Saccharomyces cerevisiae S288C: one gene and its partners. Changing the gene in region 3 together with the main gene of any one other region gives a genetic interaction. Each region holds a gene or a part of one and is shown on either strand. Other genes may lie near its edges. The genes, in order: PRM15, REG2, PET494 and ACF2.

The links.
Region 1: mutations in PET494 (region 3) and PRM15 together harm fitness more than expected from each alone (negative genetic interaction), as found in Saccharomyces cerevisiae (one large-scale study listed by BioGRID).
Region 2: mutations in PET494 (region 3) and REG2 together harm fitness more than expected from each alone (negative genetic interaction), as found in Saccharomyces cerevisiae (one large-scale study listed by BioGRID).
Region 4: mutations in PET494 (region 3) and ACF2 together harm fitness more than expected from each alone (negative genetic interaction), as found in Saccharomyces cerevisiae (one large-scale study listed by BioGRID).

What each region holds. Positions count from the first base shown.
Region 1 is NC_001145.3:820,542-828,773, reverse strand, and holds PRM15 (phosphoribomutase PRM15), read right to left. Parts: upstream 6,012-8,232; coding exon 4,143-6,011; downstream 1-4,142. Other genes in the region: DNA-binding transcription factor CAT8, read left to right, coding at 1-1,746; ATR2 (Atr2p), read left to right, coding at 2,423-4,045; FCP1 (protein serine/threonine phosphatase), read right to left, coding at 6,320-8,232. UniProt on the Saccharomyces cerevisiae protein: Major phosphoribomutase that converts ribose 1-phosphate to ribose 5-phosphate. Involved in ribose salvage via the pentose phosphate pathway.
Region 2 is NC_001134.8:334,298-341,878, forward strand, and holds REG2 (protein phosphatase regulator REG2), read right to left. Parts: upstream 3,903-7,581; coding exon 2,886-3,902; downstream 1-2,885. Other genes in the region: DNA-binding protein REB1, read right to left, coding at 89-2,521; RFS1 (flavodoxin-like fold family protein), read right to left, coding at 4,423-5,055; YBR053C (regucalcin), read right to left, coding at 5,378-6,454. UniProt on the Saccharomyces cerevisiae protein: Regulatory subunit, binds to type-1 protein phosphatase. Functions with HEX2/REG1 and SNF1 protein kinase to regulate growth. Might regulate SNF1 directly or indirectly.
Region 3 is NC_001146.8:702,291-708,108, reverse strand, and holds PET494 (Pet494p), read right to left. Parts: upstream 1,971-5,818; coding exon 501-1,970; downstream 1-500. Other genes in the region: RNA methylation protein TRM112, read right to left, coding at 1-321; AGA1 (Aga1p), read right to left, coding at 2,233-4,410; diphosphomevalonate decarboxylase MVD1, read right to left, coding at 5,024-5,818. UniProt on the Saccharomyces cerevisiae protein: Required for the expression of the mitochondrial gene for cytochrome c oxidase subunit III (COX3).
Region 4 is NC_001144.5:425,179-433,764, forward strand, and holds ACF2 (endo-1,3(4)-beta-glucanase), read right to left. Parts: upstream 6,839-8,586; coding exon 4,499-6,838; downstream 1-4,498. Other genes in the region: PUT1 (proline dehydrogenase), read left to right, coding at 8-1,438; DPH6 (diphthine--ammonia ligase), read left to right, coding at 2,151-4,208; RMP1 (Rmp1p), read left to right, coding at 6,990-7,595; SPE4 (spermine synthase), read right to left, coding at 7,645-8,547. UniProt on the Saccharomyces cerevisiae protein: Cleaves internal linkages in 1,3-beta-glucan.

The DNA of each region.
Region 1 (8,232 bases), on a different chromosome or scaffold from region 3:
AAAGGTGGTGCGTTATTCTTAGATAATAAAAATCTTCTCCTCGACACCATCAAAGATATCGAAAACGATAGGCTTTTGGATTTACCTGGAATTGCCTCTTGGCACACGCTGAAACTGTTTGACATGAGCATCAACCTGTTGTTGAAAGCACCTAATGTTAAGGTTGAAAGACTGGATAAATTCTTGGAAAAGAAATTGAATTACTACAATAGATTGATGGGGTTACCACCGGCCACAACCACATCCTTAAAACCATTATTTGGCTCTCAATCGAAGAACAGCCTGGAAAATAGACAAAGAACACCTAATGTCAAAAGAGAAAACCCAGAACACGAGTATCTTTATGGAAACGATAGTAATAATAACAATAATTCTGAAGCGGGTCACTCTCCAATGACAAATACAACTAATGGTAATAAGAGATTAAAGTATGAAAAAGATGCAAAACGAAATGCAAAAGATGGCGGTATATCCAAGGGGGAGAACGCACATAATTTCCAGAATGATACCAAAAAAAACATGTCCACCAGCAATCTGTTTCCATTTTCGTTTAGTAATACAGACCTTACTGCGCTGTTCACCCATCCTGAAGGACCGAATTGTACGAATACTAATAATGGCAACGTGGATGTGTGTAACAGAGCTTCTACAGATGCCACGGATGCCAATATAGAGAACTTAAGCTTTTTAAATATGGCACCATTCTTACAGACCGGTAACTCCAATATAGGTCAAAACACGATTGAGAATAAGCCTATGCACATGGATGCGATATTCAGTCTACCAAGTAATTTAGATCTAATGAAGGATAATATGGACTCTAAACCGGAACAATTAGAACCCGTTATTAAGCAAAACCCTGAGAATTCAAAAAACAACCAATTTCATCAGAAAGGAAAAAGTACGAATATGGAAAAGAATAATCTCTCTTTCAACAACAAGAGTAACTACAGCCTAACAAAGCTAATGAGATTGCTGAACAACGATAATTCTTTCTCGAATATTAGTATTAACAACTTTTTATACCAAAATGATCAGAACTCCGCGTCAGCGGATCCGGGAACAAATAAAAAAGCCGTTACAAATGCAGGTGCCAACTTCAAACCACCTTCAACTGGCAGTAATACCAGCCAAGGCAGTATCCTTGGAAGTACAAAGCATGGAATGGACAACTGTGATTTCAACGATTTAGGTAATTTTAACAATTTCATGACAAATGTCAATTATTCTGGGGTCGACTATGATTACATTGTAGATGCATCACTTGGGTTGGCTCCTTTATTAGTGGATACGCCCGATATCTCAAATACCAACACGACGTCTACTACGTCAAATCGAAGTAAAAACAGCATCATCCTAGATACGACATTTAACGATGACTTGGATCGGTCACGCATGAATGCCAGAGAAGTATTGAATCCTACCGACTCAATTTTAAGTCAAGGGATGGTATCCTCCGTAAGTACGAGAAATACCAGCAATCAAAGATCTCTTTCATCGGGCAATGATTCAAAAGGTGACAGTAGTTCTCAAGAGAACTCAAAGAGTGCAACTGGCAACCAGTTGGATACACCTTCTACACTGTTTCAAATGAGAAGGACCTCTTCAGGGCCCTCGGCGTCCCACCGTGGTCCAAGACGGCCTCAGAAAAATCGTTACAATACAGATCGATCAAAAAGTTCTGGTGGCGGAAGTTCCAACACAGATAATGTATCTGATTTATTCCAATGGCAAAACGCCAAATAATTCTTTATTTCATAGTGTAATATATTCAAAACGGAATCCTCTAAATATTCATGAAACAAATAACATTCTTACGTATAATTTCTTAATAGGGCAATTGCCGTAGCTTTCGTTCACCTTATGAACAGCCAAATTTATTGTTGGAAAAAAGAAAAGATAACAAAGACGACGCCAAAACACATCTTGATGCAGCGCCCATGTTCCTCAGATTTATTAATGGAACTACATTTCAGATTAGGAAATTTTTTTGCTAGTTCCCATGGTTACGTTACCGGAGGACCATCTGACAGCGCGGAGGCTGCACGGAAGGGAAGAGAAGGCAACAGGGGTGCGCATAAATAGCGCCGACAATGCGACGCCAAAAACGTGGCTCGTATATTGATTAAGTAAAATCTTTATTTTTCCTACACAAATGTCCGTAGAACGCGTAAACTTTTTTTGCTTTGTTATAGGAGTTTTATTTATGAGATAACAATGGCATGACGAAGATTATGCTATAGTATTGCCATGGTTACGAACTAAATTTTCTTTCATATCAGTTTTTCGAGGAAATACTCAGAGACATTTGGCTTGGACAAAAATAGGTATATAAGGCAATGGAAATAGATCTTTTAACCATGGCTAGTTCTGGAAACCAATCTAAGCACACCAAACATACAACTCAAAGATCTGATTGGAAATGTTTTCAATCTTCAAAAAGAAAACGAGCGTGCAGGGCACGGACTCTGAGATAGATGAGAAAATTACAGTGAAAGCAAAAGATAAAGTAGTGGTTTCCACAGAAGATGAAGAGGTGACAACAATTGTTTCTTCAACCAAATCAACTCAAGTGACCAATGACTCACCATGGCAGGACCCCACTTACTTCAGTTCCTTTGGGAAAGAATTAATGTTCATAGCGACATGCATGTTGGCACAGTTATTGAATCAAGCGGGCCAAACACACGCTCTCTGTATAATGAACGTTCTTTCGAAATCCTTTAATTCAGAAGCAAACAATCAGGCATGGTTGATGGCATCTTTTCCCTTGGCTGCTGGGTCGTTCATCCTTATTAGTGGGAGGTTAGGAGATATTTATGGATTGAAGAAAATGTTGATCGTTGGTTATGTCATCGTAATCGTTTGGTCTATAATTTCTGGTCTCTCCAAATACTCTAATAGCGACGCGTTTTTCATTACGAGCCGTGCGTTCCAAGGAGTTGGAATTGCGTTTATTTTACCAAATATTATGGGGCTTGTTGGTCATGTTTATAAGGTCGGTTCATTCAGGAAGAACATTGTTATTAGTTTCATCGGCGCATGTGCTCCAACAGGCGGCATGTTTGGTGGATTATTCGGGGGGTTAATTGTCACTGAAGACCCCAATCAGTGGCCTTGGGTATTTTATGCCTTTGGTATTGCAACGTTTCTAAGTTTATTAATGGCATGGTACTCCATCCCAAACAACGTTCCCACAAATATTCATGGGCTTTCGATGGATTGGACTGGGTCCGCGCTTGCCATTATCGGGCTGATTCTTTTCAACTTTGTCTGGAATCAAGCACCAATAGTTGGCTGGGACAAACCTTATATCATTGTTCTTTTGATAATATCTGTGATATTCTTGGTTGCTTTTTTTGTTTACGAAAGTAAATACGCAGAGGTTCCTCTTCTACCACGTGCAATGACGAAGAACCGTCATATGATTATGATATTATTGGCGGTATTCCTGGGATGGGGGTCGTTTGGTATTTGGACATTCTATTATGTTTCCTTCCAACTAAATTTGAGGCATTACAGTCCTGTTTGGACCGGAGGTACGTATTTCGTTTTCGTAATTTTCGGATCCATGGCTGCATTCTTCGTTGCCTTTTCTATCAAGAGATTAGGACCAGCTCTACTACTATGTTTTTCACTAATGGCATTTGACGCTGGTTCCATAATGTTTAGTGTATTGCCAGTGGAACAAAGCTATTGGAAGTTGAACTTTGCGATGCAGGCTATCTTATGTTTTGGTATGGACCTGTCCTTCCCGGCATCATCCATTATATTGAGTGACGGGCTTCCAATGCAGTATCAAGGTATGGCTGGATCATTAGTAAACACCGTTATTAATTATTCAGCGTCTCTATGTTTAGGTATGGGAGGCACTGTTGAACACCAAATTAATAAAAGCGGCAATGATTTGTTGAAAGGTTACCGAGCAGCTGTATATCTGGGAGTTGGGCTCGCTTCTCTTGGTGTTGTGATTAGTGTGACTTACATGCTTGAAAACCTTTGGAATCGACACAGAAAATCTGAAGATAGAAGTTTGGAGGCATAAACTAGTTAAATGTATATTGATATAAGTGTAGGTACAAACAACAAATATAATGGCATTCTTTAAGTCGCTTGGTCTTAATGTATAGGTTAAAATAGTATCAAAATTTTGTAACTATATTCATTTCATCTGGTCTAAACCATTCACGTCTCAGCACATTCCAAGTCAATTTCGCCAAGAAAGAGGCTCTTTGTTCTTCATTTGCGCAAGCTTCAATATATACTTTAAGTTTTGGTTCTGTTCCGGACCCGCGAATAGTGAAGCGGATATGCTCATTCTCACTACCGTTACTTGGTCTAGCAGATACTGTTATCATTTGTGATGTAGGATCGACGGGTAGAGTAGGTTTATGATTTATGGTATCCGATTGGTAACCAGTGGTTAAATCTCGATAGTAAAGTACTTCGATTTCTTCACCAATAGATGAAGGATATGACGCGCCCTCAGGAGTGTAGACATTCCTGATGTAGTCAAATATATCTTTTGTAACAGTTGGATTTGGAACGACATAATAGCCATTGTACTCTTTGAACACGCCATATTTTTTGAAGCCATTTTCTAAGACATTTAGCGGGTCCAAATTGTGGTCTATTTTCCACTTACAGTAGGCTTGCAAGAAGACAATGGATGCACTGATACCATCCTTATCATGCTCCATTGCTGGAAACATGTAGCCTATTGCTTCCTCGAATCCAAAAGGAACGTAATAGCCTTTCTTTTCCAAGAGTATGGCACGATTTCCGATCCACTTAAATCCTGTTAATGTATCCTCATAATGGAACCCTTCTATTTCTGCCATTTTTTTTATCATTTGTGAAGACACTGTTGAATTTAACATAGCCAACGGATGAACGTGCTGAAATTCTTTGTCCATACTTTTATATTTCTGATATTCATAAAATGCAAAAAGAAAACCGATTTCGTTACCTGTTAGTTGTCGCCATTCGCCTGACTGCATATCTTTAACAGCAACAGAGAATCTATCAGCGTCAGGGTCGTTGGCAACAAGTAAGTCAATGTCATGTTTTTCAGCCAAGTTTATACCAATGTCTAAAGCACCTTTTTCTTCAGGGTTAGGAAATCCAACAGTTGGGAAAGAAGGATCTGGATTTTGTTGTTCAGGAACACATAGGTAATCCTTACCTTCTACCAGGCACAGTGTTTTTTTTACGATGGTGCTGAAAATGTCAAATCCAACCCCATGCATTGGAGTGTAAACGAACCAAGGTTTGGCTTTTACTTCAAGCTTTAATGGGTTGATTTCTACCAGATTTTTAGAAACCTCCTCTAAATATAACTTCAGCATTTCTTCTCTGGAATACATCAATTTCCCTTGTTTGAGAGCCTTATTTAGAACATCGTCGAAATCCCACACATTGGCCCATGGTTCTAAATTTGCGTCAATGGAATCAGAGATGGCATGATCGTGAGGTGGAATGATTTGGCATCCATTGGAATAGTATACTTTATATCCATTATCCATTTTTGGGTTGTGACTTGCTGTTATCATTACGCCAACGGAGGCCTTTAGCTTATCCACTGCAAAGGGAACTAAAGGGGTATGAACAAATTCGTGGTCAGGATTCAAATAATGTACCTTAAATCCTTTTAAAAGAAATGCAGCAGCAGTAGCTCTAGCGAACTCCTTAGAATGGAATCTATGATCGTGTCCCACAACAGCTACCAAATTGTCTGGAAACTGTTGTCTTACATAAGTTGCCAATCCCTGAGACGCTTGTATGACTACTAAAGTATTCATCCTGCTAAAGCCAGCTTGCATTTGCGATCTTAAACCAGCAGTGCCAAACTGAATTCTAGAATCAAATCTTTTGTGTAACTCATTCCAGTCGGATTTTTTGCAGAGAGCGGTGACCTCTTCTATAGTTTTTGGGTTGCGGTCTTGCTTAAACCATAATGATATCGGATCTTTCAAGTCAGATGGTACGGTTTCTAAAATTCCTTGCAACATTTTTTGAAATTGCAGCAGCTAATGGCTCGAGAGTACTGTTGAGTATTTAGGGGGAAAGGAGAAAGAATCAATTAGTTCTCGCTACAGGGAGAAAACAATACAATATATAATGTTCAAAAAAAAAAAACGAAATGAAATCAAAAAAAAAAAAAAAAAAAAAAAAAAAAAAAAAAGGATTTCAGGATATCAAAATAAGCAAAAATATTGTTGCTATTTATCGATTTGTTACAAACGTATATATAATATGAACAATTATAGGTACAAAGACCAATGAGGAAAATGTGTGGAAAGATACGGCATCTGAGCTGCTAATCATCCAGCATATCCATCAACTCTTCCTCCAACTGCGAATCGCTGTCTTCGTTGTCATCCCCTTCTCCTTTATGTTGTACAGGACCATCTTGAGAAGGTTCCGCCTTGGTCTTCTTTTGTGATGTATCATCATGATTGTCCTCGATGCTCCTCTTTCTGTCAATGCCTTCCGAGTTGTTTTCGTCATCACTTTCGTCGTCGTGGTCGTCATCTTCGTCGTCGTCGCTAGCTGTGTCCGGAATATCTTCATCGTCGTCATTGTTTAACCATGAAGTACCAGCAGCGAATAAATTTAGATTTTCTTGTGATGTCAACATATGCTGTTGTTCCTGGGTCTCCTCCAGATATTCTTGTCTTTTTTGTAATTGTGTTTGAAAGTTTTGTAATTCCTCGTCGGAGATGGGGCTGTCCACGATTAACGTGTAGGGTTTTTCATCCACCTTTTTCCAATTTACCAAACACTCAAATATCCAATCTGGGTGAACAATTTTAATCTGTGGGTTGAACTTTTTCGCTAGACGCGCTTTATAAGTGCTAGGGTTCTTGGTGATTAAATGTGTCGTCAGGTAATCTATATCTGGAGTGGAAGTGGCACCAAATGTACTCGTCCATATCACTATGTCCGACCTTTGAATATCGGTCCCGAGGGGTATTAATCCTGAAAAAACAAAATAGCAATTTTGGAAGACTTTTTGCTTCAAACTTGGTATGATTTCCATCAGATTTGGTTCTGGCTCATTTTGTTGTGAGAGCATATCATAATAAGTTTTGTGAATGTTTGATAGCGTACCCATTAAGTAGTATAGTTCATCATCGTCATCAACTAGTAGTTTTTGATCATGCAGGTGTTTTTGTAGTTTGGCCAAGGGTCGATTTTGTTGTTGGACTTCTAAAGATGCTGAATATTCTAGTTTCTTGGTCAACTCTTCTTTGGATTCGTTCGCAGGAGGCTCCTCAGCAGTCGCCAGTTGATGGTTCAATTTTTCTTCTTGGCGTTTAACTTCTTTATCTATCTTTTCTTGTAGTTTTTTTTCGTTATCCATAATATCCGTCAGCAGTTCCTGAGATTCTTGGCTCTTCTGTCTTGTCTTCCTCCCTAGTTGTAGCATTCCTGTAGATTGTTTGGGCAAGAAATTAGAATTAATGTCACCTACACCAACGAAGAAGTTATAAGGAACAACTTTGATCAAGTTTGGACACCAATTCCAAACATCACCTCTGTCGTCAATAACTACAACCATTGACTGGTCAGTGGGGAAAAGTTTAGCTAATGATTTAGTTGTTAGAGACCCATTTTCATCACGCGACAGAATTCTATCGCCAAACAATTCGCCCGTAGGGTCCACGATTTTGGCAATTTGCAAGGCATAAGCCCTTGTAGCCATTGTGTAGATATGCATTTCAAAAAGAGGCGCCACTTTAGCGAAAAATTCCTTTAAACCGGGCCTTACCTTCACGTAGTACCAACATTTTCTTACGGGAGGCGGTCTCAGCATAGAACCATCGTCATTCATGTACATAAGTGGGAGTACTAACTCCTCATCCAACGTAAAGCTCTTGACGTCTCTTAATGTTTCAAAATTCGGATTATTGGGGTCGTTCTTCCACTCTGCAATCGTAGGGTCCACGCCACAATGGATGATGGTTTGATCTAAATCCACCACTAAGATAAGTTTCTTATCCCGTCGCAAATGCTCCTTCAATGCCTTGCCTGTTCTAATGGCTTCTGTCTCGCTAATCTGTAAATCCACGTCCCCGACAACGTCTAGTGGTACACCATCGAAGGCATCTGCAGAAACTTCTTTCCCGCATTGAGTACATAGCCCGCCATACACGATGTCATGGTTACATGGCCTTTTTATTTCGCAAATCACTTGGTTAGCAGTGGCTACTTCATCTCCTACGTCTA
Region 2 (7,581 bases), on a different chromosome or scaffold from region 3:
GGGCTAAAAAAAAGATAAATGATGAAAAATAACGCGTACTATCAAACATTATTGAGTTTTTCGCTTTCACCAATTATATTTTCCGGAATTAATTTTCTGTTTTCATTGAAATATTGGAGCTAAAATAATCAACTAGCTCTTTACTGATTTCATTGATTGATTTTTGCTTATAGCCTTTGACCTTTTTCTTCATTCTTTCATAGCACAATTTCAACTCTAACCCATTTAATTTCATGCCAGGCTTCAAAGCTGCAAGTTCATCCCAATCTACTTGAGAATCTTCTGTTATACCTAAATCTCTTAATTTTTCAAAAATCCATAACATATCATCATCTTTTACAGTCTGAATTTTGGCAATTGCTTCCCTTTTGACCAATTTATTCCATTTATAACGACATTGAATACGTGATCTCGTACCGCCCATACGCTCACTGACAATGGTCCAGTTAATGATGTCTTTGAAATCTAACTTACCGTTACCCATCAAAGATTTCCTCAGTTTATTATTGTGACGTCTGATTGTATTTGACAAACTTTTAGAATGTGTGCTTGTTGCTGATGGAGCAGGTACCATTGAGTTCTGGGAATTATCATCGAGCTGTATACCTAATGAATCGTGGGGTTTGTCTTCGTCTTTGTTGTCTCCCAGGGATGAAGAAGCAGCAGCGGCAGCAGCGGCAATAGCATCGTCATCATCTTGCTGCTTTTGTTGAAGAAGTTGTTGTTGTTCTTGAATAGCAGCAGCAGCAGCTGCTGCTGCAGAAGCTGTATCATCATCGTCTTCATCGTTATTGCGATGATCATTCTGGTCATCTTGCAGTAAATGCTGTTCTTCTTCCAATAAGTTTGGATGCAATTGAGACTGTTGTTGCTGGGCTTCTTCCAACATATCGCTGATAACCTTTTTCAGAAGCTCTTCTTCTTCAACGGACCATCTATTTGATGCTCTATTGGTACCACATTTTACGTAGTTTCTCCAACGATCCCTACAATCTTCTGGCATTCTGCCTAAAGTTTTACCTATTTCTGCCCATTGACCTTCTTTTTCTGCACATAATTTAGCTAGCTCTTGTTCCTCCTCCGCGGTCCATTTACCACGTTGTTCAAAAATGTGATATTTTCTTCTCATGTGTTTGTAGATAGAGGAGCTAGATCTATAGGGTAAGACTTTGTAAATATTATTCCAAAAGTTGTCCTTTGGCCTGTCGGAACTCCATATCCTTTCACAAACTTGTTGTCTAGTCAAACGTTCAATGGCCTCATACTCGTTAATAAATCTTTCTAAAGCGGCGTCTTCGGCTTTATCAAAAGCTTTGCTATTGTTAGACCTTGAAGTCGATGGCGTTGCTGAGGATGAGGATAAAGATACCAAAGATGATGCCTTTGTGGCGGCTGATTGAAGTAGTTGAGATATTTCTGAATTGTCCACGCTGCCAGCTTCATTATCATGAGAGGGAGATTTTTGTTGGTGTGGTTGAGTATCTTGAGAGATAACTTTGGGCAAGACTTCCATATAATTTCTAGATTTGTTGAGGGAACTATCCAGCATAGAGTCTTTCTGCAGTTCAGAGTATTGCTTTGTACTATTTGATAAATCATCTGTATCATCATTGTGATTCTTGTTCTGATGATTCAAACCGTGTGTACGCATCAAATGATCTTTAATATGCTTTAATTTTTCGTTATCGTCAGTATCAGCCGCAGTATTCAAGTATTGCTGGAAATCAGGATGTTGGGTAATCGAATCAGCGTCGATAATGGCCTTATGGACCAGTTGATCACGATCAATCACATCATTATTAGTATCGTTGTCATCTGCATCACCCAAGGTGGTTAATTCCGGATCTACGTTTCCAATTTGTCTGTCATCGTCATCATTATTGTTTTTCCGCTTTTTCTGTGAATTCTCATGATTATTTCCGTTATCATGCTGTCTTTTACGCGAATTGCTATCGTTCGCAATACTGTTATTATTATTGTTATTTTTCGATAGAGTGTAAGCAGCAGCGACGGCGGCCATCGCCATAGATTGATGATCATCGTCCACACCAACACCCGCATCTTTCTTATTCTTGTCGTCGTCGTCATCCACGACTATGTCAGATTGAGAAAAGTGATTATTACTGTCATTGCCGTTGTCAGTGTTATTATTGTTTTCGTCATCTTCGTCGTCTTGTTGATTATGCGCTGTTTGCCTTAAATACCAATCCATAACTGCGTTATGTTGTTCATTGGAGTTGGCATGATCCACATTCGAAGATGATTCGTTCGCATTCAATGCGCTAATATTTTCAGAATCATCATTATTATCCTCGTTTCTATTACTGTCATCATTGTTATTAACATCAACATCACTACTACTTTCCACAATATTCTGCTTTTTCGAGTGTTTGTTTTCCAGATCCTTCGTATGCAATTGAGGGTCATGGTTCTGGTGATCTAGACCTACACCGACATATTTCAAAACAGCCTCTTCCACAGACTCTTGATTTGCGTTTTTATCGTTATGACCTGAAGGCATATTGATTGAGCTATAAATATTCTAATTCAGCAGCAACACGTGAGTTCAAACTAATAACGATAGTGTGTAGATAACCTTGCTTGTGATGATGTTTATTTATTTACTTTAGGTTGGGTCCACAGCAGGGTAATAACAGCCTGAGTTTTGTTGTTTTATCTTGTGTGGTCAAGAAAGCTGCCATTTGTTTGTCGTTGTCCTTTGTGAGGGTAGGTCCCTTGGCCGCCTTTGGTTTGCCACCCGGCATGGGCCCAATTTGAAAGACGGGTAACAAAGTTGTTGCTATATATCACGTGATCAATTTTTCCGAGGAGCTTCTAGAAGAAAATGAGACACAATTTCAATGTATTGAAAGTTTACGTAAAATTTATAGGAGCAGGTTGGGTATACTGGTGTCTATGTAAGCGTCAATGTCATTTTCTGTTTCAGCGTCAGTATCAGTATCAGTGTCAGTTTCCGACTCGAAAATGAAGGTCGAATGACTTGAAGTTGACGAAGGTTTTACGGGGGAATGATGACTTATGTTGGATAACTTGAGATCGGAGTCAACCCGAAGCACACTACTGAAATCTGTTTCTCCTGCCTGTAACAAAACATTTCTTGGAACATCGCGAACATCGTGCCCACGCTGATAGTCTCCACTATTACTACTGATAATGGCAGTGGCAGCGGCAGTCGTAATAATTGCGTCACTCGCGACGTAAACGCTGTTATAATCATAGAAACTTCGCTTACTTGCTGCGTTGCCAATACAGGGATCTAGTTCAGACTTTGAACAAGGGCGCTGTTCATCAGTCGAATTCAACCGTGTAGAAGGAAGCCTTTGTATGAAATGCTCATCAGTTATAATACACTGTTCAACGTTATCGTTAAATTTGATATGCCTCTCTCGTGGCTTGCCCATTATATCTCTCCTTTTGCGTGCCTTAAACCAGCTTCTCCAAAAAAGGTTCTCCAATCTTTGATCATTGTCCACTTTCTTGTGTTTTTGTAACGGTAAAACATTTTCATTTTTTACAGTGTTGTTCGAGCTTCTCACATGCTTATTATTTTTATTGTAATTGTTTTTACTACTACAATTGATAAACTTGATGAATTTCCATAAATTTAAATTCAAGATTAAACTTCTTTGCTCGTGAAAGTCGAAATTTTTCTTCTTTACTGCTGGCAACATGCACATTCTTTTCTTGTTTATTTTCCACTGTTTGGCATTCAAAGACTTGATTTTTTTTAAGCAATACGTACCATTTGCAGCGGCGGGAGGATATCCCATATCGTTTCTATTCATCAAAGTTCTGACCGCCTCAACGAATTTACTACTTTCTTCTTCCTCTGGAGGGTCCTGGAATAAGTTATCCAAAGAGTCGCAATTACTCAAAGTCATTCTCACACACTTTCTTGTTCCTATTTTTTTTTTCTTATTCCAATATATTATTTTATCAGAAGACAGACAGCAAGAACGACAGCCTAAGTTTCGAGACAACGCTAAATTTGACGGACATGCGAAGACATGCCATATATAACAGTACGTCCAGGAAGAAGCTGCAACTCAAGAAGCAATAACTATTTTATGCATTATTAGTTAATTAAAGGGGGTATGGTGTGGCTAAAAACGAGTAAAAAAGCAGCTTGTTGCGATGTTAGTAATGATAACTATAAGGTTTCCGTGTTGACACAATAAGCGTATAAATTTAATCACTCCCCCCACGTTTTTTTATCCAGTGCTGCCCCGCCACATGCAATCGGGCCGTCGGAAAAGCAAGAGAAGGACAAACTATCGGGCAAATGGCCTGGAAGGGACCTTCCCCATTGGCCCTTGACTATAGTCCTTCAGTCCTTCAGTCCTTCAGTCCTTCAATGTTACAGTTATACCATATCGTACTTATGTAAAGATATATACGGTTTTACAAATCTTTGATACGGTCGTAAAAGGCCTTCCCTTGAAGTTGGTGAACTCTTAGCTCGGATAAACTGGGAGGTCTGCCACCGTCGATTCCAGAAACACATCCTGCGCCCCAGGCGCAAGACCCGTTCACATCTTCAACGTCGGTCAATTCCTTGTATGCGTTCTTATACCCCAATGGGACATAAATGACACCATGATGGACCAGAGTACTCATTGCGTTCATGATACACATTTCTGTATCACCCTTGCCGCTTATTGCGCCTGAAACAAACAAACCGGCAATTTTGCCATGGAGAGAACCCTTTGCCCAAAGCCCACCAGTATTCGAGTCCCAAAAGCTTTTCCACTCCGCGGGGAAGTTTCCAAACTTAGTAGGTATTCCGAATAAGTAGTAATCGTACTCAACCAACGTTTCTCTTGTTAGGATTTTATAGGAAAAATCTGCATTAGTTTTGGCGACTTTGGCTGCCTCTTTTCCCTCTTCTGTCGCATATTCAGTTTTATAGCTGACGTCTGGCACTTGGAAAATCTCAGCCTCACCACCAGCTATCTCTATACCTTTTTTTTCATTTTCTGCTAATGTGGCAATTATATCGTCCACTGAATAAATCAAAATAGCGACTTTCGGCATTATCTATGTGGCGTAGTATGTGCTTATAATAGTGAGTAGTATGCTGGAGGTCTTGATGTTCGATGTTTCTCGAGAAAAGTGTGATATAAAATGTGGTTTCTTTTTATTTCTTTTCTTTTCCGCTCTTTTATGTATTTTTGATTGTCCGCCCCTTAGGTGTTCCCTCCTTATAACTAGGCAACCAAAATGGAACGGCTATTATTCGATGTATAAGGACAAGTTTGGGAGCTTCGCTTCAATTTGCCCATAAGCGGTGTCATATGACGCTAGTTACATGCGCTGGATACGTATGCTGCATATATATAAACATATGTATATACACCTAGTGGAGAGGTTGTCGCTTTGTAGATTCCAGAGGAACATTTCCGTCTAGCACGTTTGGAATTTTGTAGATGCAGCCACCATTCTTGTCAGTATTGGTTCTTACAGCATCGTTGATTTCTGCATTGGCAGTGGTCACGAAGAGATCTTTACCAACAAAACAACAACATGAAACTCTTGGTGTCTGCTCCGGCAAAATGAACTCCTTCAGCAATTTTCCGTTAGTTAAATCGAACATTTGAACCTTACTGGTGGACCAGACAGTGATAAACAGAAACCCAGAATGTTTTCCGTCTTTGCTAAACCAAATTGCACTTCCATCTGGTTCAGGAGACTCAAAAGATTGATTGTTGGAGTTCTTCACGTCAATTAACTCGTCACGTTTTAGCAAGTCGCCACCAGGACATTTCCAAATAGTGAAGTTTAAAGAATCAGTCACGTACATCGTCTTTTGATCACTTTCATCCCAGTGGATCGCGTTAGGAATTAACAAGCAATTCCAAACAAGCTCTATCTTGTGAGCTAATAGGTCAACACGAAGCAAACACCCAATAGGTTCCAAATCAAATGGAAAATCGCTCATTAGCCCCACATAAATATATTTTCCATCTGGCGAAACGTTCCCATCATTAGATCTCAACTTATATGCTCTGTCTGTACTCAATTCAGGACATTCGGAATACAAAATGACATATTCCCATTCACTTTTGCTAAAATCCAATTTTCCTATGCCAAATTTACTACCAAATAATACTTGTTTGATTTCATTTTGTGAAGCCCCATCAAGTATTGGAAATATACAGCCCACGGATTCTTTTAATTCATCTGGATTGGGAGGGTACTCAATTGACGCATTCTTGCCATAATTGGCTCTACTAATGGAAAAAAAAGAATGACTGGATTCAGGCTGTTCTATGTCTTCGACTTTATGAACCTCTCCTTTAAAAATATCAACCCACAACAGTGTACCGGTTTCCTTAACGAAGGTTATTCCTTCACTATGTATGGCACCGGGAACGTGATAATAAGGTTTTAAATCATGCAAAATAATTTCTTCAAAATCGCCAACACTACTCATTTTACGAAAAGTGTCTAGTTGCTCAATGCATATAAACTTAATCTAAGAATCTTACAGGACATCTTCATATATGTCCATATGCTTTGAATAAGCATTGGCTTCCCCTTAAAGCCCGACCGGGTAAACTTTCACCTAGCTGTTCTTGGCGACCATTAAATAATTTTGAATGCATTTCTAGGAACAAAATCAAGTGCAAGCTACAGCTTTACAATTATAGAATCTGTTGACCAAGTAAAATGGATGAGAAAATTTACGTACGATTTTGTTCCTTATCCATTCAGCTTCTCAGTTAGTCAAGAGGTAGCTGTAGCGGCTTAACGAAAAAGGTATTAAAAAGGGACATACTTTTTTTATATCTTTTCCTTTGGCGTTCACAGTTACTCTTTTAGAACTCCTTGTTGTTGTGTAATGCATTTACCCATTCCCGATATAACTACCACTTTGGAGAACTGTAGACAAAGACCGCTCTTACTGAGTATACATTTTACTTTCGTAGACCGACTTTTAACTCTATTAGGAAAAGCAATTGACTTTTGAACTTCGATGACGATTGTGCAAAATACAAATCGTTTCAAGCGGTGTTCGGAATAGCTCACAGAAATGGCGAAGATATGTTGAAAAATACATACCGATGTCATTTGTGAAAAACAAAAACACAAGCTACAATTTGTATATTTACTCAATTACATATACCAATTGAGTAATAATTAAACAAGAAGGCAAAAATAAACTAAAGCAAAATAGTATACCATCTTTGGTTCCTGGACCACATTTTCTCTCAATATTTTTGAGATGTTTTTCTTTACTTTGTTTTAAGTAGTCTTTCCATCTCCCTTCAACGGAAACAAGTGCACGCAACATGTTATTTTCCTGTTATCCGCCCTGAGCAGTTTTCTTCCCCGGGTGGCAACCATTCTCCAACATTAGACAAACTTTACAAAGAAGACACCCTACCCGGTTGCCTCCAAAGCCCTTCTTTCTTAACGCGAGTACCGCTTTGGGAGGCCTCATCTTGGTTGTGTCCTCGTATGGCAGCATCTGCCATTGAGCGAACCCTTTCCCGTTTTACGCGCATGGCCTAGACCGATCTTTAGCAGACATGCCGAGTGAATTTACCTAAGATTTCT
Region 3 (5,818 bases):
TTCGGCAATGGACGTCTGTAGCAGTAAAGTATGCAAGTCATTAAGGATGGCCATGTCGTCATCGGTGAGCTCCTGGATCGAAGATGGGAAGGATGGTTTGGTAGGAGGTAAGGCGTTGTTTCCCAATTCGGCAGCAACCGTGAGCACTGCAGGCCAGTCTACGCGGTCGACTATGTTCAGAAGGAATTCTGGATTGAACTCGATAGATTCATCCTGTACCAATTGGCATTTGCTGCCGTCGTACTGTAGGGGGAAGTTGTCGTTGCTGGTGTCACAGGCTTTAACGGAGCACTTTAGGAAGTTGGTGGTTAAGAACTTCATGTTGACTAGGCTAGTAATATGATGTGTAGAGCCGAAGAGATCATAGGATGCTACAGTAGCTTCATTGCTGGTGAAGTAGTTTTGCTTTTAAAGCTCATCGATGAAAATTTTACCCAAAAAGATACAGTTTCGTATGAGATGATGAGTGTGATTTGGGAGGTACATATTTACATGTTTTATTAAGAAGAGTCCGCCTGGATATCAGAAATGCGTTTCAGCAGCGCAACCACGTCCCTATTTTTGCTTAGAATTTGATAACAGGTTCTCTTCTCTGCCTGCGAAATGGTACCAAGTATTTGAGAGCGGTCTTCATCTCTCGGCAGTAGGATTCTGACGGTTGGCCCTGCGTGTTTCTTCTTGTTGCGTTGTAGGAAACAATTTAGTTTGAGGATGCTGATTAGTTTGAATATATTGTCATTATAGTCGTATTTGCAGCCTGTTTCTTGCAAGTTGATATATCCCTTGAGTAGTCGTGTGTATGTTTCCAGAGATATGCTCGGTACTGGCTTGTTGACAGATGGAGAATTTACATTAGGGAAAAAAAGTTGAGTACGTTCGTTGTAGGGATTCATTACAATTGAAGAGTATTTCTGGAATATCCTGTTATCCTGCATGGAGTCATTAATTAATATATCGTAAAAATCTTCTTCGGTTCTGTTGTCGTAGATATTATGGGGGAAAAGGAAGGAATGGTCGTACAGCCAAAGACCCAACAGTTTTTTTACCTCGTTAGATCGCACCTTTCCATAGAATTGCTTAAACTCACCCAAGGTCTTCAAACTGTTGTCGTGAAGTTCTGTGCAGATGAATTTCAATATCGTTGGGTATTTAGACCAGTTCGGCAGTTGAAAATTCTGCACTTTCTCAGGTGATGTCACTATCTTATCGAAATTTTTATTCCACAGGTCGTAGAACACGTCTATCCTTCGATGAGTACCTTGTACCTCTTTTCCCTTAGTCAAAAGCTCGACTTCACGCCGCCATTCCTCGCTGTTGTTATTTTGAGTCATGGTCGTGGGTTGAATAACATCTCGATACAGCATATAAGCATATAGCATGTGGAATATAGATGCCTTCGCACGCTGCGAGTCATAATCAGTGACATTTTCCCTCTTATTCAAAATCAAATCTCCTAAAGTATACTGTTTTATAGGGGTGTCTAACTTTGCGTTCTGCTCCTCGACTAAGGGATCTTCCCGGACATGTGCTACATCAGGTTGCTCCCATTTAATATCATCTTCTTCACCCCTCAATTCAATATCTCGTGGCAAGCTGAGGGCCGTAGTCTCGAGCTCTTCTCTCTGTTTCGCCAGGCTCACCTGTGCCGCCATCATCTGCTCTTCGAATGCTCTTTCACTGCTGATAGTAACCAGCGTATTATACGTAACAATGCCCATAAATGCGACAATATTAGTTGTGACAAACATCAAATTACCAGGCGCATTGAAGTATCTCCACAGTGTACGCAGATATGGGAATGTATCACCATTACAGCTCAGGAGAAGTCCGTTTGTCCTTGTGAAGTTTGTCACTGGTTTCTTCCTACTTCGAGAAAAATGCATATTCGTCTTAGAGTTTACGGAATAAAAACGCTTCCATAAAAGTCGCCATACTGTGCTAATACTCCTCTTCCCCTTTTTCAAATGCATCGTGTGTTTCCACGCCTGCTCGGGTGCCTTTGCTGTCTCCAAGCTACTGTTGTTATCCGTTTGTTTTATACTTTCCTTATTTTGTAATTTACTATTGGATGTATCTCCCCGCGTGAAGTCACTAGAACGGTTTAAAATAAAACTTTAATAAATTTATAAGCGTCAGCAAATACATATCAATAGAGAGCGTTTTCATTACATTGTTGTATTTTTATTCGATTGATTGTATATGTTTATATAAATGAATTAAATTGTTCTGATATTAACTGAAAATTACATTGCAAGCAACTGCCATGATGGCGAAGACCAACTTTCCTAATGGCAAACGCGTTTGCGATCCACTGCCCATATATTGGCTAATTGTTACCATTGATGAAGTTTGGTATTGTATGGAGATTGAAGTAGTGGAAACTTCTGTAGTGGTAACAGATGTTTGTAGAGAAGAGGGAGCAGATGATGATGAGAGGAAAATAGAAGATACCGTCGGAGTCAATGATGAAGATTCAATAGTCGATTCCACAGAGGTAGATGGTGTAGAGATAGATGTTGCGGAAAGTGATGATGTAGAGGCAGATATTGTAGCAATAGCTGTGGAAGAAGTGGGTTGTAAAATCTCTGATGTTGAAGAAATTTGAAGTGTGGTAACTGGTGACTGTTCGACACTTAGTGATGATACAGAACTGAATAGCAAAATAGTACTGTCAGAGGATAATGTAGCAGACAAGGAGGAGGATGAAAGGACCGATGTCGATAATAAGTGTGATGATTGTTCTTGAGATTCTGAGTCAATGCTTGATGTACTCGTGGCTTCACTTACACTAGTCGAAATGGTTGAGGTACCTGAAGATGTTACATGATACTTACCGGTAGCGTGCTTATTGAAATCTTCATCCGAAGTTGTCATTGAACTTACCCAACTCTTTGTGGATGTGGTCTGCTGTGTTACAGAACTTGATGAAGCTGTTTGCACGGAAGAATACGAGTGTGACGTTTCAGCACATGTGGAGCATGCATATGAGGATTCAACCGTTGAGGTGCTTACAGAAGTTGCGACGTTTTTAGTGGACATTTTTATAGAAGATGTAATCAAACTTGTTGTCTGCGAGGGCATGCAAGACTCGTGAGTGCAGACTGTAGCGTCTGTTGTAACCGTTTCATGCATACTGGTTAATGTGCTAGTCTCAGATTCAGAGCTATAAGGACACCATGTCGTATACATTGTAGTGACTCCACTAACAGTGGTGAAATATGTAGACATGGAAAATGATGGGATAGTAGTAGAAATTGAGGATTTGGTGATATATTCAGACGAACTTTGTGAACTAACAGTTGTTTCAACAGTTGAAGAAGTCATAGAAGGAGTTGCAACATTTGACGAAGTCGAAGGGACGGAGTAAACAGGTGTGGATGGGCTGTATAATGACACAGACGTTGATGAAGATGCTATAGAGGAGCCAAGGGATGAAGTTGAATCAGTAAAAGTAGAGCTAATAGATGTTGAACTTGGAGAAGTGGAAGCCAAAGTTGGAGATGAAGAAGTCAAACTTGGGGATGTAGATGTTGAATATGAAGAAGTGGAAGTGGAGCTTGCAGAAGTAGATTTAGAACTTGGAGATGTAGATGTTGAACTTGATGAGGTAGATGTAGAGCTTGGAGATGTAGATGTCGAACTTGATGAGGTAGATGTAGAACTTTGGGATGTAGATGTAGAACTTGAAGATGTGGATGTCAAACTTGAAGATGTGGATGTCGAACTTGGAGATGTAGATGTCGAACTTGATGAGGTAGATGTCGAACTTGATGAGGTAGATGTCGAACTTGATGAGGTAGATGTAGAGCTTGGAGATGTAGATGTAGAGCTTGGAGATGTAGATGTCGAACTTAGGGAGGTAGTAGTTGGATTGGACGATGTTGTACTCGAAAGTGTAGAGGTGACAGGTGAGATTATAGAGGCACTTGATGGTTCAATGGCGCTGGATGATACCACGGTTGTAGTTCCTACTTCGGATAATGAGCTGATAGCGGTTGTGTGACAAGTAGGGCAAATATATGAAGTGAACTTGGAAGTCACAGATAAGGTGGTGGTTGGCAACGTCGATGACGAAGGACATGCCTCATGGGAGCAGACTTCTGTAGATAATGTCAAAGTACTAAATCTGGATAGGGTAGTAGCGTACGATATTGAAGGACTTATTTCGGCAGCAGATGAAGTGGATACCGTCAATGGACACCAAGTCGTATACAATGTCGTAGTGCCAGCTTGAACGATAGTGGATGTGGAGACTAGCGCGGGTGAAACTGTAGTTGTAACAACCCCATTTGCATCGTTTGTCTTGGTTATCGTCACTAGAATCGTTTCTGGATCAGATGCCAAGGCAATATTAGTTAATCCCAACAATATTGTGAACAGGTAGGTAAAATGAGCGAAAGATAATGTCATCTGAAATTTTTTGGTTTTTTTAGCTTTTATTGTTAATGCTCGCCGTTTTTCAAAGATGAACGTAAATACTGGAAAAGTTCACGATAATTATTGATGATAGATCATTATTCTGCGCTTATATACGTTTTAATTGCTTGCTGGGAACTGCTTATTTGCGATAGTCGCTTGTTTTAAGTCATTACTATGTTTTAATATTGTTTCAGAAAATTATGTTACAGCCGCGTTTTGACTTGAAACGTGCAATATCCAAAAAGAGACTTTACAATTGAAAGCTAACCTAAAATTTGAGAAGATATGTGACAGGTACCCTAAATGTAGATTGGGTGGCTGCTGAGATCTTTAAGTATGAAACGGGTGGACGTACTTGTGCTAAGTGGTGCTGTTAGACAGCTACGAATAAGGAAATTCCGAAGCATGTAGGGAGGTCATGATATGAAAAAGCAAAAGAGTAGGCATCAAAAAGTTTCTCATTCAAGTGGTAACTGCTGTTAAAATTAAGATATTTATAAATTGAAGCTTGGTCGTTCCGACCAATACCGTAGGGAAACGTAAATTAGCTATTGTAAAAAAAGGAAAAGAAAAGAAAAGAAAAATGTTACATATCGAATTGATCTTATTCCTTTGGTAGACCAGTCTTTGCGTCAATCAAAGATTCGTTTGTTTCTTGTGGGCCTGAACCGACTTGAGTTAAAATCACTCTGGCAACATCCTTTTGCAACTCAAGATCCAATTCACGTGCAGTAAAGTTAGATGATTCAAATTGATGGTTGAAAGCCTCAAGCTGCTCAGTAGTAAATTTCTTGTCCCATCCAGGAACAGAGCCAAACAATTTATAGATAAATGCAAAGAGTTTCGACTCATTTTCAGCTAAGTAGTACAACACAGCATTTGGACCTGCATCAAACGTGTATGCAACGATTGTTTCTCCGTAAAACTGATTAATGGTGTGGCACCAACTGATGATACGCTTGGAAGTGTCATTCATGTAGAATATTGGAGGGAAAGAGTCCAAACATGTGGCATGGAAAGAGTTGGAATCCATCATTGTTTCCTTTGCAAAGGTGGCGAAATCTTTTTCAACAATGGCTTTACGCATGACTTCAAATCTCTTTGGTACGACATGTTCAATTCTTTCTTTAAATAGTTCGGAGGTTGCCACGGTCAATTGCATACCCTGAGTGGAACTCACATCCTTTTTAATATCGCTGACAACTAGGACACAAGCTTTCATCTGAGGCCAGTCAGAGCTGTCTGCGATTTGTACTGCCATGGAATCATGACCATCTTCAGCTTTTCCCATTTCCCAGGCCACGTATCCGCCAAACAACGATCTACAAGCTGAACCAGACCCCTTTCTTGCTATTCTAGATATTTCTGAAGTTGACTGTGGTAATTGGTATAACTTAGC
Region 4 (8,586 bases), on a different chromosome or scaffold from region 3:
GCTAGAAATGATAGCTTCCAAAAGCTCCTTATTAGTTACTAAATCGCGCATACCCTCTCTATGCTTTCCTTTGATAAAGAGGTCCTATGTGTCAAAGACTCCGACACACTCTAACACGGCTGCTAATCTGATGGTTGAAACTCCGGCCGCCAATGCCAACGGCAATAGTGTGATGGCACCTCCTAACTCAATCAATTTTCTACAGACACTTCCCAAGAAGGAACTATTCCAACTGGGATTCATCGGTATTGCGACCTTGAACAGCTTCTTCCTGAACACGATCATTAAGTTGTTCCCTTACATCCCCATCCCAGTAATAAAATTCTTCGTCTCTTCTTTATACTGTGGCGGTGAGAACTTTAAAGAGGTCATCGAATGCGGCAAACGTCTGCAGAAGAGAGGTATATCGAACATGATGCTTTCATTAACTATTGAAAATTCCGAAGGTACAAAGAGTTTGTCCAGTACTCCAGTAGACCAAATTGTCAAGGAAACAATCAGCTCTGTCCACAACATCCTACTGCCCAATATTATTGGCCAGCTGGAATCTAAGCCAATCAATGACATTGCTCCAGGTTATATCGCTCTAAAACCCTCTGCTTTGGTCGATAACCCTCACGAGGTTCTGTACAATTTCAGTAATCCCGCCTACAAGGCTCAAAGGGATCAGCTGATCGAGAACTGCTCTAAGATTACAAAAGAGATTTTTGAACTAAATCAATCTTTGTTAAAGAAGTACCCTGAAAGAAAGGCCCCATTTATGGTTTCCACTATTGACGCTGAGAAGTATGATTTGCAGGAGAATGGTGTTTACGAATTACAGAGAATCTTATTTCAAAAATTCAATCCCACTTCATCTAAACTGATATCATGTGTCGGTACTTGGCAGTTGTACCTAAGGGACTCTGGTGACCATATTTTGCACGAATTGAAGCTGGCCCAAGAAAACGGCTATAAGCTTGGGCTGAAACTGGTTCGTGGTGCTTATATTCATTCTGAAAAAAACCGTAACCAAATTATCTTTGGCGATAAAACGGGCACTGACGAAAATTACGATCGTATCATCACTCAAGTTGTCAATGATTTAATCATCAATGGCGAGGATTCTTATTTTGGTCACTTGGTTGTCGCCTCTCATAATTACCAATCCCAAATGCTCGTTACTAATTTGCTAAAATCTACCCAAGACAACTCTTATGCCAAATCGAACATTGTGTTGGGGCAATTACTAGGTATGGCAGATAATGTTACCTATGACCTAATTACCAACCATGGCGCTAAAAACATAATCAAGTATGTCCCATGGGGCCCACCATTGGAAACTAAAGATTATCTTTTGAGAAGATTGCAAGAAAACGGGGATGCTGTGAGATCTGATAATGGCTGGCCATTAATCAAGGCCATAGCAAAGTCGATTCCAAAAAGAGTAGGCCTATGAGAGGACTATAATATATACTCCAATTTCAAAGACAAACCAAAAAACCAAAAAAAAAAAAAAGTATGCATACATAATTCTGATGTTCTAGTTATACATATTATATATAAGTAATGATAATAACACTAATAGTAAAGTAAACGCACGGATATCAAGAGTTAATATACTTGAACCACTTAAATAACAATCTGTTGGTAAAGCTTTCTTCCTATTGATTATGGGTTCGAATAGTACCAGATGTTTTGCCAATCCTAAATCGGTAGGAAAGTGGCTTGTCGTCGTCAGGCTTATTATCAACTCTTATGCACAAGAAAGGTACTCATCTTCTATAAACTACATAAGACCTGAATCTAATCAAAGGGAGAAAGCGCAGAACATCAGATTTAAAGCGGTTTTGCTTGATACACTCAGCCTTGTCTCTTTGTAAGGATTTTGGGGTACCTATGAATAATACATCTAGTAGTGTTAGTAAACCAACGTATGGGATTTTGGGATACATAGTTTTCCAGTGTTTCTTATCCGTGATAGTTTAATGGTCAGAATGGGCGCTTGTCGCGTGCCAGATCGGGGTTCAATTCCCCGTCGCGGAGAATTTTTTTAAGCTTCTATTAAAGAAGCTTTTTTTCACTTATATCTGATGGATGATGAATAGCTAGTTCAAACGGAAATCTTTGATAAAGCTATATCAAAATTCAAAGCCCAATAAGTCAGTATCATGAAGTTTATAGCATTAATATCAGGTGGGAAGGACTCGTTCTACAATATTTTTCACTGCCTGAAGAACAACCATGAATTGATTGCCCTGGGAAATATATACCCAAAAGAATCAGAAGAGCAAGAATTAGACTCTTTCATGTTCCAAACAGTAGGACATGACTTAATAGACTATTATTCTAAATGTATTGGTGTTCCACTATTTAGACGCTCAATATTACGGAACACTTCTAACAACGTCGAGTTGAATTATACTGCTACTCAGGATGATGAAATTGAAGAACTATTTGAACTTCTAAGAACTGTCAAAGATAAAATTCCAGATTTAGAAGCTGTTAGTGTAGGTGCCATCTTATCGTCTTACCAGAGGACCAGAGTGGAAAATGTTTGTTCCAGATTGGGTCTAGTAGTGCTAAGCTATTTATGGCAAAGGGATCAAGCCGAACTAATGGGTGAAATGTGCCTTATGTCCAAGGATGTTAACAATGTTGAAAACGATACTAATTCAGGAAATAAATTTGACGCCAGGATAATCAAGGTGGCAGCAATTGGATTGAACGAGAAACATTTAGGAATGTCCTTGCCTATGATGCAACCGGTGTTACAGAAACTTAACCAACTTTATCAAGTTCATATCTGTGGAGAGGGTGGGGAGTTTGAGACAATGGTCTTGGATGCCCCTTTTTTCCAACATGGATACTTGGAATTAATTGATATTGTCAAATGTAGCGATGGTGAAGTTCACAATGCAAGGTTAAAGGTAAAATTTCAACCGCGTAATTTGAGCAAAAGTTTTTTACTCAACCAATTAGATCAATTACCTGTACCTTCGATTTTTGGTAATAATTGGCAAGATTTAACCCAAAATTTGCCAAAGCAACAAGCTAAAACAGGAGAACAAAGATTTGAAAATCACATGTCGAATGCTCTACCACAAACGACAATCAATAAAACCAATGATAAGTTGTACATCTCTAACCTACAATCACGTAAAAGTGAGACGGTCGAGAAGCAAAGTGAAGATATTTTTACTGAGCTAGCCGACATTCTGCATTCCAACCAGATTCCACGGAATCATATTTTATCTGCGTCATTATTAATTAGAGATATGTCTAATTTCGGAAAAATCAACAAAATATACAATGAATTTTTAGATTTGTCAAAATACGGACCTTTGCCACCATCAAGAGCATGCGTAGGTTCGAAGTGCTTGCCAGAAGATTGTCACGTACAGTTATCAGTTGTTGTTGATGTAAAAAATACAGGCAAAGAAAAAATCAACAAGAATAAGGGCGGACTACATGTTCAAGGCCGTTCATATTGGGCTCCATGTAATATCGGACCATATTCCCAAAGTACTTGGTTAAACGATGATGCAAACCAAGTCAGTTTTATCAGTGGGCAAATCGGACTAGTACCGCAGTCAATGGAAATATTAGGAACACCTCTCACTGACCAAATAGTTTTGGCATTACAACATTTTGATACTTTGTGTGAAACAATAGGAGCTCAAGAAAAGTTACTCATGACATGCTATATTTCAGACGAATCGGTTCTCGACTCTGTCATCAAAACATGGGCGTTTTATTGTTCAAATATGAATCATAGATCAGATCTATGGATGGACAAATCTGATGATGTTGAAAAATGCCTAGTTCTTGTAAAGATTTCTGAATTACCTAGAGGCGCTGTTGCAGAATTTGGTGGTGTTACTTGTAAGAGATTAATAGTGGACGATAATGATTCCGACAAGAAAGAAAGGGAAGAGAATGATGATGTTTCAACCGTATTCCAGAAATTGAATTTGAATATTGAAGGTTTTCATAACACTACAGTTAGTGCGTTTGGATATAATAGAAACTTTATTACGGGATTTGTAGATAGTAGAGAGGAGTTAGAACTTATCTTGGAAAAAACCCCAAAATCAGCCCAGATTACCCTCTATTATAATCCCAAAGAAATCATCACTTTCCACCATCACATTGGATACTATCCGGTGGAGAAACTTTTTGATTACCGTGGTAAAGAACACCGCTTTGGGTTGCATATTCGTTCCTAACTCCAAATGTAGGCCTTATATTTTATAAACTTAATAGATATACGCTGTCCACGCTCCTGGCGGTGTAAATGATAGACAGATCCCAAATATGTTAGCAAATCATAGGAACAACACCATATTGTGAACACGTAAAATTTAGAATACGCCGCACAATTAAGGTGTGTTCTGTAATAATTTGATTATTGATGATGGTTTAGGAACCAATATTCATATAAAAAAATGATCATTCTATAAAATACCTTATCGTAACACTTGTACCATGCTACTAACACTGTATATATTTCTGACCCCTAAGAAAAAGCACCTGAATAAGCTAAAGACCAAGTTAAGCTTTGCCCATTGTCTAGGAAATTTCTGTTGAAATCAGGTTGGCTGAAAAAGTCGTACGAAAATTTTGGATCAAGCAGAGCCATATTTAACATGATTATTCCTTTCCAACCGTCATTCACTTGATCAATTATCGGCTGCATTTTTTCTTCCCACTCCTCTTTGACAAAATTTGGTGTTCTGACCCATGAAGATGCTGATGTTATAGGAATGGCGTGAATCATATGAATGTATTGAGGCTCCATGCCAAAATACGTGGCGTGATCAATTTTATTTTCGAATAAAATACCACTAACTTTATTACCAATAAATTCTTTCGGTTGGACAGTATTATTGCTTTCGTATAGGAAGTAGCTCTGGAAAACATTTCTCATGATGCCGAGTTGTAAGTTCGCTATGTCAGTTAACTTAGAATTTCCAGTTACCAACCCCCACAATTTTATCGCATAGCAAGAATTGACATCTTCTGAAGTAGATTCTTCATCTTTACCGTCACCACTTGGAAATAGTCCTTTGGCCCATGAATGGCCATTAAACCAATCAAATGACCTAAATTGAGGGAAGTACGGATCATCGTTGTCAACACCAGAGTAATCTCTAATTAAGCACTCAACCCAATCTCTATTATTTTCTAACCAGGAGTTGTTAGTAACTCCACTTAAATCAGAATCGACTAAAGAGATAATGGCAGCCGTTATGACATGATAAGAGTAATGAAAATGATGATCATTATAATAAGAGTTACCAAAGTCTTGGCTAGAAGAGCCTGATGAAATTATGCCTTTCCAACTAACGTCGTAATTTAAAGGTAAGACTTGCTGATTGCTGATGAATCTCTCCATTGCAATAGTCAGTTTAGATAATAATTCTTTTGTTAAATTTTCATCATGAAGGATGTAATGTGTCACATAAAGAATCCACGCATACTTTGCAAGTATCTTACCAGAGAAATACATAGAATCTATGTTTGATTCTTGTTGAGGGTCACTCAATTGAACTTCTTGAACAGCAGCTTCCCGAATTTTAGATAGCTTTTCTTGACTGTAATCTGCCTTCTTATTCAAAGATAACGCGACAGGTTCAAAGCCCAATTCTTGAGGTACTTGAACCTGCATATCAAAACTGTTTGTGAGATAACCAGTCATTAAGCCTTTAACTGTGGAATCCAGGCTTGAGGCAATTTCACGTTCCTGCATTTCTGGTGTGAATGCCGCTTTATGATGTGGTAAAGCATACATTAGAGTAGTTCCAGACTGCGAGTAGCCTGCAACCGTATAGTTAAATCTGTAATTTGTGAAATGTTCATCAACAGTTTGCCCTGATAGGTCACAGTATACTGGATAACAGCCCGCTGCCATGTCAATACTGGGGACGGAGTCTGCAGATAATTGACAGATAAGACCATTGATTTTATGAGATGATATTATTGTATTGCTGTCGAGTAATGAAATTTGAAAATCTTGTGGAAAAGAGTAATCAGGTGAGGTCAAATAAAGTATCCAATTCCTATTATTCTCAAGTTGTATATTATATTTACCATATCTTTCATTCACGCTTATGCGCTCTAAGCTCCTGAAACCAACGGCGCTTCTTAATTCAAAACCCAAATCGTGGTAAATAGCCGTGACAAAGCCCATCCCCTGAACCAGCGGGAATTCTATAAACTGGGAACTACTCAAAGACATTAGTAAGCACATGGACATATGTTTCATATCCCGGAATTCAAGCTTGATATCATTTGAAGAGACAAATTCCCTGGCCTTGAATACAAATGATTTTATATTTGTGGGATTGAAGTAGAATCTGGGAGGATTTGTAGTTGTATCAAAAACCCTTTGAGACGCTAAAGTATGATTGGCGGCCAAACCAAACAATTCTGGATCACGAGAAAACCAAATTGAATAAGGATGTGTCCATATAGGTTGTGTATTATCGTCTAATAACATGTTTGTGTAGAACTTGTTTGTCTCCAATGGATCAACAGATTGATCATCAATATTCGGCTTTGGTACCGGGTGTTGAACTTTGTTGAAGACGGAAGGAGGAGCTTTTAAGTTAGAAAGGACAGGTGATTGAAAAATATTGTCACTATTCACCTGGCTGTCAGCTAAAGGGTTAGAACTGCTTGGTGTGCGCAGTGATTCACCTGCCACCCTATTTTCTCGAGGTTTACTGGAGTTCTCAGAAGAACAAACTGGTGGCTGAACATTTGCGCGAGGTGGTAAGGGAGGAGGTCCTCTATTGGTAGTACCGCCAGGTCTATTAGGAACAGGTGGAGGAATGGCTTGCCTACTGTAACACATCTTTTTACTTCTCGTATTTATTTATTTTTGTTTTTATGATACTAGCACTTTTCAGAAATTCATGAATTTTATTTATGGTTCCAAGAAAAAAACTTCAAAGAAATGAGTACTAGAATGATATATCCACAAAAAAAAAAAGAGCAGAAACAAAATGGATGAGATGGATAATGTGATACGATCTCTGGAGCAAGAATATCGGTTAATATTGCTCTTGAACCATAGGAACAAAAATCAACATAGAGCGGCTAGCTGGTATGGATCGTTCAATGAGATGAAAAGAAATTGTGGACAAATAATAACGCTTTTTAGCTCGAGAAGATTACAAGCCAAACGCCTTAAAGATGTTGAATGGGTCAAGTTGCACAGGCTATTACAGAGAGCACTTTTTAGACAGTTAAAGAGATGGTACTGGCAGTTCAATGGCGTAATTGCGCTGGGACAATTTGTAACGTTGGGTTGTACACTAGTAACATTGCTGGCAAATGTGAGGGCACTGTATATGAGATTATGGGAGATTAATGAAACTGAGTTTATAAGATGTGGATGCTTAATAAAGAACTTACCGAGAACAAAAGCAAAATCGGTTGTGAACGATGTCGAAGAACTTGGAGAAATTATAGATGAAGATATTGGCAACAACGTTCAAGAAAACGAACTAGTGATAACGTCTATACCAAAGCCTCTGACAGAGAACTGTAAGAAGAAAAAGAAAAGGAAAAAGAAGAACAAATCAGCCATTGATGGCATATTCGGATAAATATACAAGTAAATAGACTTTTTAAAATAATAATATCAATGCTAATAAATCATTCATTAATGACCTTGTCTGCCCAAGTAGGCAAAACAAACGCACTAGAATGTATTTGAGGATTATAGTACTTCAGCTTCCCTTGTTCTTGCTCAGATATCTTTCTTTGCGGAATGTTCAACGGTATATTGGCGTTATTACTGCAAACAATTAAACCTAATTGGCCAGATGTATAGGTTGGAACCATGGTATAGCAATATTCTGTATTAGGAAATACCTTTTTGGCTGTATTTTTCAAATCATGTAAGTATTTTAAATTTAACCAAAAATTTTCAGAGCTTTGCATAATAACAACGCCATTAGGATTTAAAGCATCTTTCAATAGTTCGAAATACCTCTCTTGAAAAAACGCTTCAGCTGGACCTTCAGGATCAGAACTATCTGTAATAATGACGTCAAATTTCTTATGGACGTCGGAAGCACCTATATCTTGTAAGAACTTGAAGCCATCGCAAAGTTTCAAGTCCAACCTTTCGTCATCGAAAGCACCATTACTCAATGTGGGCAAGAACTTACGGGATAATTCGATCACTGATGAGTCAATTTCTACCATAGTGATATCTTCTACACAGCTGTGCTTGGCTACTTCCCTTAAGACACCTCCGTCCCCACCGCCAATGATAAGTACACGCTTGGGATTAGAATGCGCAAACATGGCAATGTGGGTGATCATCTCTTGATAGGCAAACTCATCAAATTCCGTACATTGGACAATACCATCGAGGACCAAAACAGTACCGTATACCTTGTTACGGAAGATTAAGATGTCCTGAAATTCACTGCGGGCTTCATAAAGTATTGAGTCCACGGTCATAGTAAAGGCCTGGCCCGGAAAACTTTTATCATTAATCTCTCTAAACCATCCATCTTTGATGTAAGGATGCTGTGAATTATTAACCATAATGTATAACTGAATCTGTCACTTTATCCTGCCTGTCTC